Diceros bicornis minor: one gene and its partners. The protein of the gene in region 2 interacts with the protein of the main gene of each other region in a pairwise test. Links are inferred from orthologs where the notes say so. Each region holds a gene or a part of one and is shown on either strand. Other genes may lie near its edges. The genes, in order: UBTD1, MID1 and EHHADH.

Evidence for each region.
Region 1: the proteins of MID1 (region 2) and UBTD1 interact in binary tests that used the Homo sapiens proteins (3 or more experiments, as listed by UniProt). The two-hybrid records come from large-scale screens. The link is inferred for Diceros bicornis minor from reciprocal best matches to the Homo sapiens genes MID1 and UBTD1.
Region 3: the proteins of MID1 (region 2) and EHHADH interact in binary tests that used the Homo sapiens proteins (3 or more experiments, as listed by UniProt). The two-hybrid records come from large-scale screens. The link is inferred for Diceros bicornis minor from reciprocal best matches to the Homo sapiens genes MID1 and EHHADH.

What each region holds. Positions count from the first base shown.
Region 1 is NC_080745.1:63,274,628-63,278,375, forward strand, and holds the start of UBTD1 (ubiquitin domain-containing protein 1), read left to right. Parts: upstream 1-1,552; 5' UTR 1,553-1,813; coding exon 1,814-1,883; intron 1,884-3,748. Other genes in the region: MMS19 nucleotide excision repair protein homolog, read right to left, coding at 848-959. UniProt on the Homo sapiens protein: May be involved in the regulation of cellular senescence through a positive feedback loop with TP53. Is a TP53 downstream target gene that increases the stability of TP53 protein by promoting the ubiquitination and degradation of MDM2.
Region 2 is NC_080781.1:8,312,886-8,316,633, forward strand, and holds the start of MID1 (E3 ubiquitin-protein ligase Midline-1), read right to left. Parts: upstream 2,834-3,748; 5' UTR 2,586-2,833; intron 1-2,585. UniProt on the Homo sapiens protein: Has E3 ubiquitin ligase activity towards IGBP1, promoting its monoubiquitination, which results in deprotection of the catalytic subunit of protein phosphatase PP2A, and its subsequent degradation by polyubiquitination.
Region 3 is NC_080754.1:38,518,514-38,522,261, forward strand, and holds the start of EHHADH (peroxisomal bifunctional enzyme), read left to right. Parts: upstream 1-909; 5' UTR 910-925; coding exon 926-999; intron 1,000-3,748. UniProt on the Homo sapiens protein: Peroxisomal trifunctional enzyme possessing 2-enoyl-CoA hydratase, 3-hydroxyacyl-CoA dehydrogenase, and delta 3, delta 2-enoyl-CoA isomerase activities. Catalyzes two of the four reactions of the long chain fatty acids peroxisomal beta-oxidation pathway.

The DNA of each region.
Region 1 (3,748 bases), on a different chromosome or scaffold from region 2:
AAAACTCATCTGTACTCAAGAGATTATTTTATATTCTATTACTTAAACACGAGGTCTGAAGCCCTCCTAACATTCAATAACTTTTTAGGTTTTTTCCTAAAAGAGTAAGGTCTCAGAACTCCAAGGAAATCTGTAATTTGCTTTATTCAAATCTAGATAAGCTGTCAGAACTAAGAGATTCCTGAACTGGTCAAAAGCAGGAAACTATAAAGATCTGGGGAAAAAATAAAAACAAATACCACACAAAAATGTCATGAAAAAATTAATCAAGAACTTTACCAAGAAATGTAGGGAAAGGCTTAGGGAGGATGCGCAGAACATCTCAAACTCTCCCCAGACTGGCATCTCTCCTCCTCTCTCCAATTAGAGCCAGTCAGACGCCCGGCCGCCCGGCCACTCCCAACATGCCACGTGACTCGAGCTGATGCCGCTGTAGATGCATCTTCTCACGTCAACCTCCCAGAAACAAGAGCTCTGGCGGTGTGAGCACCTGATTCTGAACTGAAGAACCTGGGTCCGAGTCCCAGCTCCCCCACTTGCCTGATCTGCGAGTCTCTTGCACTCGCTGGGCCTCAGTTTCCTCAAGTGAAATGGTAATTACTTTCCTAACCCGGCCAGCGCAAAGGGTGGCTATGCACGGAGACGAGGGTCGTAAAGGCGCTTTAGGGAAGATGCAAGCGACTCTCAGTTTGTTATGGCTTTTAAGCACGCGCTGCTCACAACCAGCCCCAGACCAATCTCTCAAAGTCACCACTGTCCCTCACTCCCTTCCCGCTCAGGGTCTGTGCTGAGGCCGCTCCCTCCTGCCGGCCCCCACGCGGAAGCCGCGCGGCGCCGTCTGCCGTACCTGCAGCCACTTGGTCAGCGGGGCCCTCCTGCTGACCCATGACGAAGTCGTGTACGAGGCCCCACAGGTTGCCTGTAGGCGCCACCGCCTCCAGAGCGGCGGCGGCGGCCATGATGCGAACCGCGGGAGGGAGAAGTGGGCGGTGGTACGGGACAGGCCTCTCGGCGCACGCGCCTCCCGAGCCAATGGGCTGGCGGAGGCTGAGGGGGCGGGGCGCTCCCTGGATCACGTGCCTGCAGGCTCCCGGCCAGGCAATTCCAGAGAGGCGTGGGACGGTCCCTCCCCGAGGGGCGGGGCCTAGAGTCGGGGCGGAGGCGCGGGGAGGGAAGGCGGCTGCTGGGCACGCAACCGGGGGCCGTTGAGGGCGAATAATTCCGGGCCCGGCTCCCCGGGAGACGGGCGGCGGGGCGGACACCTGGCTGGGTGGGGCCTAGGGGCGGTACGCACCCTAGGGAAGCCAATGAGAAAATCAGGCCCGGCCCGAGGGGGCGGTGCCGTCGGTCACATGCGCACCTGGGGCGGGCGGCGGCGGCGGCGCTGGCACTGCGAGCCAGGGGCAGGGAGCGGGGCCGGGCTGGGGCGGGGTTAGGCAGGTGAGTGACAGGCTCCAGGGGGCCGGCCCCAGCTGGGAGCCCCGAGCGAGCCGGGAGTAGCTGCGGCGGTGCCCGCCCCCTCTCTCCGCCCCTCCGGCGGAGCTGGTCTCCGGCCGGGCACCGTCGCGGGCCCCCCTGGCCCGGCCACCTGGGACTGTGCTGCGGAGTCGGCCACCTCCCTCTCTCCCCTCGCCCGCAAAGTTTGTGGCGAAGCCGGCGCTTGGGCAGAGCGCGACCCCGGGGGGAGATTGGGGAGCGCCTGATGCCCGGCGGCAGGAGCCGTTGACCCGGGACGCCGCCGTCCGGGCCAGGGGTGCGGAGCAGCCGGCCCGCCCGCCGCCTCCGGTGCATGGGGCCCGGCTGAGGAGGCAGCATGGGCAACTGCGTGGGGAGACAGCGCCGGGAGAGGCCGGACGCCCCGGGACACCCCCGCAAGCGAGCAGGTAACGACCGGGAAGGGAGCAGGGCAACGGGCGCCCCGCCAGTTGTCCCCCTCCTTGCCCGAGCCCTGGGCTCCCGGAGTGACCTCCCAAAGCTCCTGGAGCCTGGGTTTCCCCGATGGGTGCTCCTGAGCGAGACTGGGGCCCCCTCCCCAGCCCTGGTAACCGGGGGAGCCGAGTTGGGGCAACTGCGAGCGCTGACCCGCCTGTGAGCCCAACTTGCTCCAACTGGGAAGCTCCGGGTGGGGGTGGGGGCGGGGGCAGGAAATGTTTGCAGACCGCAGCGGGGCCGATGAAGGGGAGGAGGGCTCCGGGCGGGGGCGCCGCTGACCTGGCAGTAGGGCTGGGGTCGGACGTCCACCCGTCGGGACACGGTGCGGGCGGCTAGGCGTCCCCAGAACTCTGAGCGAGCGAGGCGAGAACAGTCGCTCCTTCCAAAGACTGTGTCATTATCCGGCTGCAGATCGTGTCTGCCGGAATCCGACTTGCAAAAGCAGCGCAGGACTCTGGGAAAGAAATCTTTATTTTTCCCGCAGGCTTTTTAGAGCCTCCTGGCCGTCTGGGAGCCTGGGAAAGGTGGGGTGCGGGGTGGGAATCGCCCTCGGGTTCGTTGGGATACTTCCCAGCCTTGGGAATGGGATCTACTCTCTGCTGATCTGCGAGGGCCGAGCAGCGCCTTCTCACTTTCTTGGTACACTCCTATCCTGGCGTTTTGCCCCGGGAAGAGGTCTGGCGGCCGCTTCCCCGTGTCTTGTACTCACTTCCTTCTCTGAGGATGTTGCAAGGACCTTCTGAGAATGATAAAATCGTAGACTTTAGAGCTGTAAGGGACCTTTGAAGCTTGTCTAGAGTCCAGATAGACGTACCTCCTCCTGTCTATGTACAAAGCCCAAATCCAGAGAGGTTGATCAACTTGCCCAAAGCCACACAGCTAGTTGGTAGTACAGCTAGAGGTAGAACGCAGTCTCCTCTTCCACCCAATTGCCACATATCCCTTTGTGTCAGAAGAGCTACAGGCAGGATTGTTAATGAAGTGGAAATTCTAGTTGGAGTTTCCTGTCTCGTTTGACACTGAAGGTGTGTTGCTTGGGTTGTGGAAACCGGGAAGTAGGATGAGGGGAAACGGGGGAAGCAGGGAAGGATGTCTGTGTGGTGGACAGGATGACTTGTGGAAGAGACATGTTTTTATAGGGGGGACAGGGTAAAATTTAACATTGAAACCCTCTTGTCTGAAGGCAACCCTGACCTTTCTTCTGACTGAGGAAAGTTAATTCTCAAACCCAAGGGCTTTCTTCCTTTCATTCATTCATTTATTCAACAAGTATTTATTATTTATGTGCTCAGTCCACATAATTGACTTAGTAGCATTTTTCACTAACAACCCACTCCTACTTGAAATAATCCCTCCTTCCCTTCTTGTCATTAGACTATCTTGGTTTTTTTCTCTGATCACTCCTGCCCACCATCACCTCCTGGGTGTGGGCACACCCGTGATTCAATATGACATTCCATTTTTTTCTCTCATTATACTCCCTCCCAGGGAAATCTTATTCAGTCCCACAACTCTGTCTGTTGGGAAGACCTCTAATCTGTATCTTCAACTATTGCCTCTTGAACCCCACACTCATATCTCTAACTGCCCACTGGATGCCCTAATGTAGATATCCTTAGATTCAGCACTTCTAAAACCAGCTCTGCATCTCTCCCCCTCAACCAGCTTCCCTCTTCTCTTCCATTCTTGCAGCTGCCTAGCTTTGTACTTTGAAGAACTCTCTCTGCTGACTTTCTCTGCCTCCATGTCCTCTGCCTCCCAGCCAGTCAGTCACTGGAACCTGCTGGATCCTCCTTCAGCAGGTCATATGAACCTG
Region 2 (3,748 bases):
TGCCAGGGCAGTGGCTGATTCATTGTGGATTCAAGAAACGCTCATTTCTTTCCCATGATGCCCTGTTCCTATTGATATTATTAATTATGTACATTATTGTGGTATGCCATTTAACAAAACAAAAATATTTAACAAAAACCATCTAACAAAAAAAAAAAACCCTAATATATCAAGGCAAAAAATGAGAAGGAACAGTAATTTATAAGTTATAAAGATTAAGCTTGCTAAAACATTTTGGTCCATCTTTTCCCAACTTGAGCAATGGCCAGATTAATTCATGAGAAATCTTACTTTTTAATTATTTAAATGCCCAGGGATGAGAATAACATACAGCAGGTCTTGTGCAATGTGAGAGGATTATTGATTAACTCAACTCCCAGGTTCTAAGTAGCCAGTAGCATATTTTAATGTATCAATAATTCAGAAGAACGAGCATTTTCTGTTGTTGCTGAAACCACATTTGCAATTGAACAACGTGAACATGCACAGAATTGTTAGAACAGAAAAAGTTGGTCTTTTCCCTTCTAGCCTTGGCCACCTCTGCAGGAAGACCCATCAAAATATAGTTTTCATCTCTAACAGCAAACATGGGCCACACTAATGACACTCAATAAATATATGCCAGATGAATGAAAATCTCATGAGGTGGTAGAGAAAAATGACCAGCAAAAGTATTTTAAAAGATCAACCTGGAAAGAAAATCAATTCTAATAAACTCGATGCTCTCGGGCTCAAATATTATGAAGGTAAATAGTCTTTGAAACTGGATCGAGCATGCAGTAGAGAATAGTAAATAACATTGATCACAATTTGAAAACCTCCCAGGCGTCCTCAGAGATCACAGATAAATTGATTAACTGTTATCTCACATTCAGGACCCTCAAATTAACTGCTTGCATTCCATAGACAATTCCTAAAGGCAAAGATAGAACTGTTTGGTTGAATTAGCATTTTCAGTTGAAGAAGAATGAAGACTGAAATTGACAGGGAATTGGCTTTCATTTTTTTGCGAATTTTAGGGCAGGCAAATAATTAGCTCATTTTAAAGAAAGAGCATATATTTTTTTCAGGCATTCACATTAACATGCATGCAAGGAAAGTTTATTTAAATAGTTATATACTTTAAAAAACTGATTGTTGTTAATGAAATAAATGCCACACATTTTCAATTTTTGAATATTCTAATAATCAGGCCATCTTAAGACAGCAGAATTAAGTAGAAAAAACTCTATGGGCCTAATTTCAAATGAAGTTAAAATTGCAGACCTGGGTAATTAGTTGGTGTTGATCATTTTATTTGATCATTTGTTTTCATGAGGCACAGATTCAACTGGAATAATAATAAGTGTATTATTTGTTTGATGTTAAGTTTAGAAACTAAACATCTACCATCAGAACTTTGCATAAAGATTTTCGTTTTATTTTACTGAGGAGGAAAAAAAATGTAGAGTCAGCTACGTTAGGCAGCATCCAAACTTTCTCAGGGAAAAACAATCACCACAACAAAGATTACCACCCCCTCCTGTGGGGTGGGGGCGGGGCGGGCGGGGCGGGCAGGGCTTGCAGGAATTTGGTTCTCAGCTCCGAGTACAGGCTTCTGACTTGTCCATCACCGAAACAACAGCTGTCTGTCACTTATATCTTCTCCACACATACTCCAACTCAGAAGGACTTGAGCAGTTTGCTTGAGGGATAATTCGCCTCAAACTGAATTAATATATTTCTAAACTATTCAGGGTCAAATTTCCCAGGATATAATAAAAGGATATATATATATATGTGTGTGTATATGTAGCCATATAAATTATGTATATCTCCACACAAATATAAACATCAATTCTAAAAATAACAGAATGGAATTAGGGAGTAAGAAGTACCGTTTGCCGAATAAGGCTGTCTGAGCGAGCCGATTCCTTGAAAACGCTAAAGGAGACGTGGTACCTATTCTTTCTGATTCTGGGGCAGCTTCCTTATTTCTTCTTTCTGATTAGAACGCTGGCTGAGTAACAAATAGAGAATATAAAGTTCTTCATGACTAACTCAAAACTCTGTTTTCCTCACTTTAGTGGGACCACTCTCCCCTTATTTCACCCTGTCTGGAACTTACTCTTGGGACTACTTGGTTTATCAGCAGTGGTTTTGGTCCCCACAGCCCTAGTTACAAAACAGGGGAAATGTACATTCTCACAGGAAACAGACAATTTGGAATTTTCCAGAAAGGCTTGATTTTCTCCTACTCCCCATGCAGTTGTACCCCCAAACTAATCAAATTTAGATATAAATGCTTTAAAAATATGATTATCCTATAAATAGGTGCATTCCTATATGGAGTATAGTTTCTGTGTGTGCATATGTTTTGTTTAAGTCAGTTGCTCAAAAGTGATGCTAATCAAGTTTGGGAAAAGTAAAATTATGCTATGGCTACCGGCTCTTTGTGCAGGAAACAGTACCTCTCTCATACATCAGGCAGAGACAATGCAGGATGTCCCCAGAATCACTAACCAATTTCCCTTCCTTCCAACACCAGCACTTTAATAAAGCAATTATAGTAGCATCCCAGAGCAGTAGAAAAAAATGAGCCTTACCAGTTTCTCCTACGGTAGACGAAAGAAAACAACCCCACAGCTGCTCTAGGCCAGGCAACTGGGTTTCTTAGAGTCACTTCACTGAGGGGACCAAGAAAGCTGAAGTCTTCCTTCCCTCTGTTTGGTTTTTCCCCAGCAACCTCTCCCAGGATTTTTCTCACAAAGCACTCTCCTATTCTCTAATCCCCTCACAAGGAAAACCGGCACACACACCAAATGACTTCTGCAGAAGCGCCTCTCCTGGGGAGCGGGAGGGGAGGCGGGGAAGGGAGGTGTTTGCTGGCATTAATTCCTGCAAGGCGAATCCTCACAGAGGCATCGAACTCAGCCCTCTGCACCCCTCAGCGACAGGACACGAAGTACCAAGGCGGGGAATAGGACAGGTCCCTGGTAAGGCATGGAGATGGGCGTTTGCTCTTTCTACACCCTCCAAACGCCTGGCAGTATCTCTCGGGGATGGGAGAGGGGGCTCAGCCTAAAACTTCATCTGAGTTCTACACCCCTTTATACTCCCTTCCAGAACAGAATGATTTCAAACAAGTTATGTAGACATCAGCTAGAAGCTGCCCAAATTTACCTAGCACTTTAAAAGCCCTGACAATTTATAGCAACTGTTTGTTTTTAATTTATCCCCAAACTGAAAATAAACTGAAAACAAACTTAAAACACCAAGAAAAGGCAGAATATCAAATACGAAAACGTGGATCTACATGCTCTATCAAAGATCCTGAAAATTACTGTTTTTACAAAAATTTGTATTTTTAAAATATTAAATAAAAGTAAATTGCTAAGTTGTAAGGCATGACCTTTTTTAAGATCTAAAGTTTACCTTATCTTCCCAGGACAGGGTTTACCCTTGCATTTCACAACAATATTCACACCTTATAAATCCAAATCCCCTTCTAACTTAAGGCAAATATTTTAATATATATTTCAGATATGCTATAATCAATCTGGAATTCCTCCCTTTCCCCTCAAGTTTTTAAAAAGAAGACTTACCTTTCTATTACGTCATTTAAAACCCTGAACCGAATAAATCAAAGAGGAGACAAGCAGATGGCACAGTTCTACAATTTGCAATGAGGGCTGTTTGCCTTGGAGTCATTATTTCTAAGGAGACGCTGTTGTGCTTGTGTCTCTGTTCGGCAGCGTGCCATTTGGGC
Region 3 (3,748 bases), on a different chromosome or scaffold from region 2:
CCCGACAGTTTCGAGAGGTAAAAGAATATCTATGAAAATAGCCTTTAATCACTGCTAAAATTTGTGAAACATCAGTGAACAAAATCACTCCATTGTTTTTTTTCTCTGAAACTTCCAAACTGCCTTCTGGCCACTTGATGGCTGTGGAGACCACTAGGGGCCAATTACATCTAGAAAAACCTTGTCCCAGCCTGAACTTTTGGAGTGAAGGGGCTAGGCCTTATTTATCTTTAGTCTCTTGCCTACCTTAGCACATAATAGGTACTCAATTCATGAATGAAATGTTAGGATTCACAATCCTTAGGAATGGCAGAAGAAGAAAAAAATAGGATTAGGCAGACAAGAAACTCACAGGTTTCATTAGGTTACTGTAGGACTGTTCTGTAAAAATTTGGTTGATGTCAGTACCATACCTATTTAGGTGAAATGCATGATGTGTGTATTTTATGTGTTCCAGGTGTGTGTCATATCACATAATTGTCAGGACCCCAGATATCTGACCCTGTTAAGAAGGATCATGAGGATGAAATCTGTGATGAGGACAGCTCCACCAACTTAGTGAACCTAGAACTCGTTCAGAGAAGCCAGCCCCCTGGGCCAGGGGGTTGCAAACCTCAACTTCCTGGCAATTCCACCCGTTTTCCATCGTCTTCCCTGATCTACTTTGTAACGGGAGCAGGATGGGAGCCAAGAAAGAGAAACGGAAGACAAGGGTTTGCAGAGCGCGGGGCTGGGGTCCGGAAAAGGGGGAGGGCTGGGTCGGAGGATGGGCGTCGGTGCCCGGGAGCGGCGGGGCGGCGGGAGGTGGCGCCGGGCTCGCATTGGCCCAGCGGGCGCCCCTCCTCGCGGGGCCGGCCCGGCGCGCCGAGAAAAGGAGCATTGCCCTGGGGCGGGAGGCGGAGGCGACCTCGGCGACAGAGGAGACATGGCTGAGTATACGCGGCTGCAGAACTGCCTGGCGCTGATCCGCCTCCGAAACCCGCCGGTCAACGCGATCAGGTAACGGGCTCGGTGGCCTCCAGCCCCGGGACAGCAGGGCCTTAGCCGTCTGCCCGCTGTGGTGGCTTTGACTCTCCTCTGCTGGTTTAAACGGAGAGAGGCACTAACACAGGTTGAACAACGGCATATGCCTTTTACGTAGGTTAGCTTGGTTCATGTTCGCAGAGAACTCGCATCCCGGTTTCACTGGTAAGAAACCGAGGCTGAGAGGTGGACAGAGGGCCACAAAGTTGGGGAGCTGGCCTTGAACCGGGTCTGTCCATGCCTTGCAACTTTGACTTCTCACCCGTACTTTCTATTCCAAAGGTCTAAGCGCAGTGCTGGCTAGACCTTGATCTCTCCCTTGCCAACTTGGAGTCCAGGCCACCCTTACAATGTGTAACTAAAAGCTCTAGGAATCCAACAATAAAGTGACTTCACATTCTTAAAAATAAATTAAGGTCTCCATTAATGCCAACTCAGTGAAGTAAAGGAGAATTGTGTCCTGGCCCAGAAAAGCACAGTTCTATCTCTTGATCTGTCTAAACCTCGGGGCCTTAGTGCTTCAGTGCTTGGAAGATCCAAGTCAGAGTAAGCCTATTAAATAACATTTTCTGAAAAACTGCTGTGCGGTTTATCTTCTTTTATTTTATCGTGGAGCACCTTCCTTGTTAAACTCTCTAACCCAGATTTGTGCAGTGCACTTAAGCAGTACTTTTAAAAGGGAGATTAATGCTGCTTTTTTGAAAATTAGCATAGGTTTGGTTCTTTCATATCTCTGAAAAAAGTATAGTGATACATCAGCCTAGTAGAGAGCCACCCCATCCCTAGGGAGTAGGATTAGCAGAATTTATGAAGAATATATAAAGTATGGAGAGAAAGACCTTTGCTCAAAATTCTTATTGCCTGCTGCTGGAGCAAAAAGGGACTGAACGAGGAGACCTGCTCATTTTAACTGAATTTTTTTCCTACTGTCATCAGATTTGATTATATCATTAGTATTAATATTATAATTCTTATCTTTGACATGAATTATTACATTTAATAATACAAAAAATATGCAAGAGTAAAATCACACAACGATGATATGTCTGCCTACTTGCCATTCTCAGAAAAAGGCAAAATAGCCATTATTTTGGTTTTGACCAAAAAAACCCATAAGCAATATGATTACATATCAATTTTAGACTTGTCTGTATTCTAATTAGAATGACTAGATACTAGGACTGTCTGCCTCAGCCTCTGCTCACAATGGGAAACCATGCCCATCAAGAATTTGGGGGAAAAATGTTCCACAGTGTAATACCTGTAACAAGGAATATTTTCTCATAGCTATTTTAAATATTTCAAGTATTTAACCTGCCCGCTTGCCCCCTGGAGAAATGTTAGTATGTACCTGATAAAGTTGTTGTGAGGTTTAAATGTGTTGGAGGAGGATGGGCGAAATGGCTGAAGGGGGTCAACTGTATGGTGATGGATGGTGACTGGACTTGCGGTGGTGATCACTTTGTAGTGTATGCAGATGTTGAATTATGAAGCTGTACAACTGCAACTTATACAATAAAAATACATAAATAAATGTGTTGGAGATTATAAACAGGCATTTAACAGATGTTAGCTATCATGATTTTTATTAGTCAGAGGCCTGTTATAAGCCCCTACCAACAGGCCCTGCTGCCCAGGATTCGTTTCAGCTTCATCAAGATTTTCTCCACTTGGGCATAAATACTTTTCTGCCCTTTCTCATCTATCTTCTTTTGAACTTATATTTTAGGTAGAGCTGTACATCCCAGCATGTTTATCAAGTTTAACAGGTTCCCTTTTTTTTGTGCTTTATATTTTTCTTTACTTCTTCTCTTTCTTTTCCCCTTCCTATTTCTAATTTTCTGTGGGAAATTATCTCTTCTTAGCTCACTGAGACATTCTTTTTTGAATACTTTTTGGCCCAAATAGTTTAAATCCTTCTCTGCTAGTTTAGCCAGCCATGTTTCCTTCCATTCAGATGAATGCCAACCCTCTTTACAAGTATAGGGCATGCCTGATTCCTAGGCCTGTCTCTCAGAACAATGGCTCTCCCACTTTTTTTTAACTGTAATCCACACAGTCAAAAACCCTGTTTTGTGTAGCAACCTAAGACACACAGACAAATACACAACTGAAAACAGTTTTGTGAGACAAAACTTGTCCTTATATGTTATATAATTTGATATATTCTATTTTCTCTTTTTCTGTATTTCTTGGTTTAAAAAAATGGTGGTCATAGCCATAAAGTTGATTTGACGACCTTTGGTTTAAAAAAAAAACCTAAAAAAAAAAGACCTCCTACAGTCACAGAAGCTAAAGAGTTTTGGTCAGCACTCATGAAATGTTATCTATTCCAGACTCCCCTTCTCCATACCTGACAATATTAAGGGGAGAAAATAATTTCTTGACCCCTGTGACCTTGACACTGCTCCTAGGCTGTGGTCTCTTTCAGGAGGCTTGAATCTAGTAAAGCTGTGTCTGTTACAGCCATCTTCATTTTTCTTTATTTCTTGTGTTTGATTTTTGCAAAATTGAAAGAACATAAGAAATAAAAGAGTAGGGGTTGGTTGAAATGGGAAAAGCCAAGCTCTTCTCCTCAGTGGCACTGTTTGAGCTCATTTTGGCTAATTTTGCAGCCATCATTTACCCAGAAGGAAATATGTGCCTTTTGTTGCTTTTGTTTTGTTTTCTTCTTCTTTTGTTTTTGTTTTCTTCTTCTTTTTTTTTCCTCCCCAAAGCCCCAGAA